Linked DNA regions of Callithrix jacchus. The protein of the gene in region 2 purifies or fractionates together with the protein of the main gene of each other region. This does not show direct contact. Links are inferred from orthologs where the notes say so. Each region holds a gene or a part of one and is shown on either strand. Other genes may lie near its edges.

The links. The genes of interacting proteins can lie anywhere in the genome.
Region 1: the proteins of NCK1 (region 2) and ARHGEF7 purify together in Homo sapiens (co-immunoprecipitation; 3 studies listed by BioGRID and IntAct, with this or other methods). This does not show direct contact. The link is inferred for Callithrix jacchus from reciprocal best matches to the Homo sapiens genes NCK1 and ARHGEF7.

Annotation. Positions count from the first base shown.
Region 1 is NC_133502.1:26,672,837-26,676,579, reverse strand, and holds the start of ARHGEF7 (rho guanine nucleotide exchange factor 7), read right to left. Parts: upstream 2,406-3,743; 5' UTR 2,040-2,405; coding exon 1,875-2,039; intron 1-1,874. UniProt on the Homo sapiens protein: Acts as a RAC1 guanine nucleotide exchange factor (GEF) and can induce membrane ruffling. Functions in cell migration, attachment and cell spreading. Promotes targeting of RAC1 to focal adhesions. May function as a positive regulator of apoptosis.
Region 2 is NC_133518.1:47,383,405-47,387,147, forward strand, and holds the start of NCK1 (SH2/SH3 adapter protein NCK1), read right to left. Parts: upstream 2,248-3,743; 5' UTR 2,164-2,247; exon of another isoform or gene 1,729-2,163; intron 1,421-1,728; exon of another isoform or gene 1,316-1,420; intron 1-1,315. UniProt on the Homo sapiens protein: Adapter protein which associates with tyrosine-phosphorylated growth factor receptors, such as KDR and PDGFRB, or their cellular substrates. Maintains low levels of EIF2S1 phosphorylation by promoting its dephosphorylation by PP1.

The sequences.
Region 1 (3,743 bases), on a different chromosome or scaffold from region 2:
GAAAGAAAGGAAAGAAAGAAAAAACCCAGATAACTCTCCTGGGAAATGGAAAAAGCTCACAAAACTTCTGAAACGCAGGGATCTTAGAGACAGAAATGGCTATTTTGCTCCAAAAACCTACCTTTGAATTCCAGAGAACCAGCAACTGTGTCTACAATATGCTGCTTTACATTAAACTTTCACTGTGACAGAGTCAGTTTAAAACAAACCAACTGGAGCTTGGGGGGGAATGAAAAACATATTTGACCTAAGACATTTCCAAATGACTGCAGTTTTAGAATATGTTGAGTTGTTTTAAGTTGGCTTCTGCAAGCTCAACATTTTATTCATTCCTCTCTCCGTTGTTTTAGAGTTGAAATGAATGCTACAGTTTTCTAGGAAAATCTTTCTAGAATTCAGAAGAAAATGATTATTGAAGCCTGTCAATCACTATTAATGCAGTTAATATGCCAAACACCACATTCTTTGATGGCGACACGTTTTTATCAACACGGCATATGAAGTTTCTCAAAGCTTTGCTTTCAGAGATGATACAGGATTTTATTCAAGCCTATTTTGGCGAACTTAGCATGTATTTCAACACTTTTCGACATCTGTCTTGTATTACCAGAGGTACCAGTCTCCAAACAACAAAGTATTTTGAATGCCTTGAAAGTCAGATCCTGCTCCTTAGTCCTCCTGTCTTAAATCATCATGTCACTGTGACATCAGGTTCATTTTAAAGGAACGTTTTTATTTCATGGACACTCTAATATGCAGATTCCGTCTTCATAAAAATGTGCCAAGTAAGAAAAATACCTAAAACTGGAATGTAAGCCAAATTCACATTTAATGTTTTCTGACCTCATTTAAAATGTAGCAGCAGAACATGCGCACGTGTATAAGATTAAACATTTTACTTTTCAAGTCACTTAGGTGGCATTTTATTTACAAGTTGTCATGCTGTATGGGGGCCAATACACCCCACTTAGAAACTTAAGTCGTTCTTCCTAGTTGTGGTACTCTTCAGTTTCTGTATTTAACACATTTTAAATAATTGTTGATCTGAACGCTGTGTATTGGCCACCCACCACCCTCCCCTCCTCCAAAAAAAAAAAAAAAAAAAAAACCCTGGGAATAAGATTGGTATTTTGAGCTACAGGGAGACCTCGTTTTTAGAAGCTCTCCTGTCTCCTGGGCCCTGCTGGCCGGTTTGTGGGCGATGAAAACAAACTTTAATCACTTCCAGAAATTCGGGTCAGGGTTCACACGCTCCAGTCTGGGAACTACCAGAGGGGAGGGAGAGGCAGTGCCTGCAGGACTCTGGGTTCTATTCAGAACCAGGGAGGGACCTGAGAACGAAATCTGAAATTTTAAACAAGCCTTGCAGAGTGCCGGGGCTTAAACCCTGTGTCTGCCGTCCTCTCGGATGGGGGTAATTTTCTCCAGGGGAAAGTAAGTACATCATTTCCCAGCGCAGCCCTCAGCCGCAGATGCGAGCATCTTTAAAAATGCAGAGCAACCGGTCCATTCACCGGGAGGCGAAACACGCAACGCCACCGGCAAGAACTGTCCACACAAAGCCAGCGGACAGAGCCGCACGGCGTCGGAACGCGGTTCCGACCGGGCCGCGGCGAGGCAGCGGAGCCCACCTCCAGCGCGGAGGGGCCACTCGGCGTTCGGACCCCCACCGCCCGCGCCCCTCCTCCCGCCCCCTACCCAGCCCCGCTCACAATGGCGCCCCCGGAGCTCCCGCCACGGTCCTGGCGCCGGCCGCGCCGCCGCTCCGCGCACAAAGGAGGGCGCGCGGTCCCCCGAGCGCGGCCGGCCCCAGGTGCTCCGCGCGCATCCCGGGCCGCAGCGGGCCGGGCCGGGGGGCGCGGGCGAGGACTTACTTTCTCGATGGTCCCGGGCAGCAGGCGCTCCAGCAGCCTGCAGAGGACCACCCCATCCTTCAGCGACGCCTGCAGAAAGCCCTCCGGGTCCGCGATGGTTTTTTTGGGCGACTCCAGCACCCCCAGGGTGATGAGCCACGTAACGGTCTGCTCCGCGGAATTCATCGCGGCGGCCCGGGAGGCGGGCGGGCGGGGAGGGGCGCGCGCCTGCTTCACCTCGGAGCGGCTGCCCGGCCCGCGGCCCCCACCGCCCCCGCCGCCGCCGCCGCCTCCTCGCCCATGGAGCGGCCGGCGCCGGCGATCGGCTCGGCGCGGCCCAGCAGCTCCGGCCCGGCCCGGCCCGCTCCTCCGTGCGCCCCGGCCCACGGTCAGGCGCCTTCTCAGGAGCGGCTCAGGAACCTGCGGGCGCCCGCCGCCGCCCCCCGGCCTCGGCCGCCGTCGCCCAATGACATCACCGCCAGGAGAAGAAAGACGCGGCCGTCCGCCCGGCCCGCGCCCGGCCCGCGCCGCCCCGCGCCCTGCGCAGCCTCCGCTCCAGGCCGTGCGCGGGGCGGCGGCGGCGGCGGCAGCGGGGAGCGGGCGGGGAAGGGGGAGCGGAGCGTGGGGCGCAGGGCGCGGGGAGAAGGAGCCGGGGGCCCCGGGCGGGGGCGGGCGCGCACCTGCGCTCACCTGCCCCGGGCCCGCCGCGCGCCCCGCGCCCCGCGCCCCCGGCCGGGGCCCCGGGAGCCCTTTGTTTATGTTTTGAATTCGTGAGCGTTGAAATGATGAAGTGCTTCCCAGAATGCTCTTTTTATTTTTGCCGGTTTTGTGTCACGGTGGCGGGGAGAGGCTGAAAACGAGACGTTGGTTTGTTTCCCTTCGCTCCCTCCGGTCACTGCGGAGCACGGATGAGGATGACATCTGCGGCCGGCGGGGTTTGGAGCGGGGGTTGAGCGGGGACTGACGCTCAGCGCGCGGCGCTGACCTTCCAGGCCGGGAAGGGGCCTGCGTGACCCCGCTCGAAACGGGCGGCGACGCCTCAGACCCTGCTGGGGGAAGGTCAAGGAGAATGGGCGGCCTGAAGCAGGGCTGTGCGAAGGGCCGGGTCGGTCAGGGCTGCGAGTCGGGGGGCGCAGCGTCACGGAAGAGCAGGGCTGGAGACCGCGCTGTGAACGCGCCAGGCCGAACCTGGAGATCCCAGACGGCAGCTGTCGGGTCATGCGCGAGCTTCCTCGAGCACCTGATGACACGCACACATTTCCACGCGAGGAACAAATGGAGCCTTTTCTTAAAAGGACGCGCGTCTCCACTCACTCCACCCACTGCCCCTGAGCGCTCTCCCCAGTTTGCTCGCTGCGACCCGCGGGCAGTTGAACAAGCAAAGCGCTTACTCTATGCCAGGCACATCCATTAATCCATTCAGTGGCAGAGGCCAGAAAGCACATAAAGCTTCCAAAAATAATCAGAGGCTTAGGTCGTCTCCCTCTGCCTCTGCCGGTGGTTTTCTCTTGCAATAACTAACTGCATTTATTTCTAGCCTTGAGTTAAGTGTTTAAAATTTTCTTTGCAAATACACAAACTATTCAAGTGGCAGTATGAATTCTGGATTACGAGGACAATGTGCTCTCCGTGATAACAGCAACCAGCAGGAACCTCACGAAGAGCTGTCTACTGCCTCACCTCCCATCATGGTCCCCGTTTTACCGATCAGATGCCGAACACATGGCAGAGATGGCACCCGAAGCTCAGCTCTACCAGTAAAGACATAGCTAACCCGTTTCTTCCTGCTGCCCTGTAAGCTTTCTAGGAAACAGGAGAGCAATCCACAGCTACATCAAGCCTTGTCCCTAGAGTCCCCATGGAAAGAAGGACGTCAACCCCGGAGTGGTT
Region 2 (3,743 bases):
CTGGGGAGGCTGAGCATAGGAATCGCTTGAATCCAGGAGGCAGAGGTTGCAATGAGCCAAGATCATGCCACTGCACTCCAGCCTGGGCAACAGAGCAAGTCTTTATGTTTCTCCATCTCAAAGAAACCAAGAAACACAAAGCATCACTTAATATCACTTTTCTTTTTATTTTCCTTTTTAAATTTTTTTTTTAATTTTCTAATTTAAAGACAGAGTCTCACTATATCGCCCAGGCTGATCTCAAACTCCTGGACTCCAGCTATCCTCCCGCCTTGGTCTCCCAAAGTGCTGGGATTACAGGCTTGAACTACCTCGCCTGGTCTCATTCAGTAACTAACAAAACATTACAGGTAGGTTTCAAGTTTTATTTACATGGACCTGAAAGCACTACAGAAACCTGGACAAAAGATAATGCCTAGAAAAATAAGTACACATTTAAAAATTTAATACATGAACCAACAGCTAGTAGATCTGAACACTCTGCAATCTATCTTTATGGATATTAGAGCCAATTCCCACAGACCATAATTTTCCCAAAGAAGAAAGCCTCAGAGCTTGTGGTCAAGATGAAAAGAAAGTACCATTTATTAACCAGTGCATATTACTATCAAGTTGTGAATGGAATGCCTATTTAAGAACATCACTGACTCCATCCCCACAAGAAAATAAAGTGTTTTAAAAAAAGAAAAGAACAAACGTTGACAATTACCAAACAAACAAAACTTTCTTATTGGGTTATTTCCCCATTTACTGTGTGACCTCGCTGAAGGCTGAGAGTTTAGACATAGCGCTTTCCAGGTGCTGAAGAAATCATTATTGTTGGTTTGCCGTAAGTCTATCCAAGAAAGATTTTTAAAATGAGTACTTTGGCTGGGCACGGTGGCTCACACCTGTAATCCCAGCATTTTGGGAGGCCGAGCCAGGCGGATCACGAGGTCAGAAGATGGAAATCATCTGGCCAACACGGTGAAACCCCGTCTCTATTAAAAATACAAAAATTAGCTGGGGGTGGTAATGGCCCGCGACGGTAGCACGGCTACTCGGGAGGCTGAGGCAGGAGAATCGCTTGAATTCGGGAGGCGGAGGTTGCAAGTGAGCCGAGATCGCGCTACTGCACCCCAGCCTGGCGACAGAGCAAGACTCTGTCTCAAAAAAAAAAAAAAAAAAAAAAAAAATCAGCAACAACCAAAAAAAAATGAGGACCTCTTGGCAACACTTACCCGTTTTGGGGCATTGAGCTGCTTTGCTCCCCTCCCAAAAAGGAGTTGGAAATTCTTCTTAACCTCATTCTTTCACAATTCCTAAGGCTTCTTACCTAATATAACGTGTAGAATTATTTTCAGTTGACTCCAGATCCATCGATTTGACACCGAGAGCCTTCCTACCGTTACGTCCTCAGCCCTGAACAAATCCAGCTTCCTGAGCTTCTAACGGCAAATTTAACTTATACGTTAACATACAAGAAATGTTACAAAACTATCGAGATAATTTTTTTACCAAACATATTACAACTCAAGTCAAAAGTTTACACCCCCAGCAACTCGCGTACGAATGTGAAGCAGGTCCAGACGTTTAAAGTCAAAGCCCCGGACCAGAAAACCGCCGGCGGGTAGGGGGAGGGGCGAGGGCGCGTCCCGAATATGTCCACCCTCAGCACCGCGCAGGCTGCCGCCCCCTCCTCCTCTCGGGCTGGAGGTGAGAGCGCCCTCCCTTCTACCACGTCCCTACCTTCCCGGTCTTGGATTACGCCACAGCTGGCAACAGGACTTTTTCAGTAGAAAATAGACAAGCCGGCGAGCGAGCCGCACACTCGACCTCCCAGCCTCGCAGGGGCGGTCGCCCGGGCTCTAACCCCGACGCAGCGCTCCAGGGGCTGACAAGGAGGCCACGGGTTCGCGCTCCCTGGGGCAGAGCCCCAAGGGTCTCGCGGAATCCCAGTGCAGACGTCCGGGCCCCGCCGAGCAGCCTCCGCATCCCCTCCGGCTCAGCTCCGAGCCTGCAGACGGCGCCCCCGGGGCTAACTCAGCGGGGGAAGAGGAAGCGACGCAGCGAGTAACAGGCTGTGAGGACGGACAGCCGACTGAAGGAGGGGGTGTGTGTGTGTCGGCCTCCCAGCAAGGCCATCTCACCCTCCGTCTTCCGTGCCGGCTAGCTCCAGCTCACCTGAGGAAGGCACCGGGACGCCGCCGCGGTCGCCGTGATGACCGTAACGGCACGAGGCCTGCGCTCTACCGCCGCGTAGCTCTCGGGAGAGGGGCGGGGCACGCGCGGTGGGCAGGCGGATCCGCGCGGGCAGGAAACCCACTCCCGACCCAATCTGATAGGTTCAGTCGCCCCCTTTCCCGGTCCTTGACGCGACAGTGGTCTGTGCCGCACTGGGATTGGGCGGGCCCACTTGTCAATCAAGCGCCGTTCGTACTGTGGAAAGAGCTGAGGCTGCGCGGCGGAAAGAAGACAGCGAGAGGGTGAGAAGCGGTAGGCCAGACCACGACTGTCTTCGGTTTTCCCTCTGCGGTTGCTCTGGGTGGTTACTTTGAGCCTTCCGCCCCAGCGCTGCAGGAGAGACTCTACAGCAAAAATGACAGCGTCCTGAGCTAACCCCCACTGTTCAGGGAGCCTCCCCCTGGTTTCTGCACCTGAAGAATGTCTTCCCAGCCGAAGGTGCTTAGGAGCAGGGAGGGACAAAGAAAAACAAATAAAAAGACCTGAAAATTGGGACCTGGGAGAAATGTAAGACATGTGGCTTTTTTTTTTTTTTTTTTTTTGAAACAGAGTCTTGCTCTGTCGCCCAGACTGGAGTGCAGTGGCGTGATCTCGGCTCACTGCAACCTCCGTCTCCCGGGTTCAAGCGATTCCCCGCCTCAGCCTCCTGAGTAGCTGGGACTACAGGCGCGCGCCTCCACCACGCCCGGCTAATTTTTTGTGTTTTAGCAGAGACGGGATTTCACCATGGCTGAGATGCTCTTGATCGCCTGACCTCGTGATCCGCCTGCCTCGTCTTCCCAAAGTGCTGGGATTACAGGCGTGAGCCACGGCGCCAGGCCGACTTGTGTTTAATTTGAGGCACAGACCAAAATAAACTGAGTCTGAGGTCCCTCTAAAAGGACCCTCGTGCTTGGGCAGCTTCCAGTCTTGGCGACAGTAGTGTTATGAAGAGGATCTTCGGAGCTAGGTCTGCCTGTTATAAGGTTTCCAGCCACTGGCTGAAGCATCAGTAAGTGTGCTGCAAACCGTAGTAACCTTTTTTTTTTTTAGACGGGGTCTCGCTCTGTCGCCAGGTTGGAGAGCAGTGGCGCGATCTCGACTCACTGCAACCTCCGCTTTCTGGTTTCAAGCGATTCTCTCCCTCAGCCTCCCTAGTAGCTGGGTCTACAGGCACGCGTCACCACGCCCGGCTAATTTTTGTATTTTTATTAGAGACGGGGTTTCACCATGTTGGTCAGAATGATTTCCATCTCTTGACCTTCTCATCCGCCTGTCTCGGCCTCCCAGAGTACTGAGATTACAGGCATGAGCCACCACACCCTGCTGCCTCATTTCTTCTTAACCATCTTTGTGGTTCAGTTTAGGGTCGCTCCTCAGGGAAGCTTGCCGAGTTAGGTATCCTTGAGCACAGGTATTTTCTCCATCCGAGCTATTGAAATGGTTTGTCTGTATCCCTACGTGGATTGTAAACTCCATTGAATCAGGAACCGTGTCTGTTCAGTTTCTCCCTAGGGCCTTGCACATGGTAGATGGTCAGT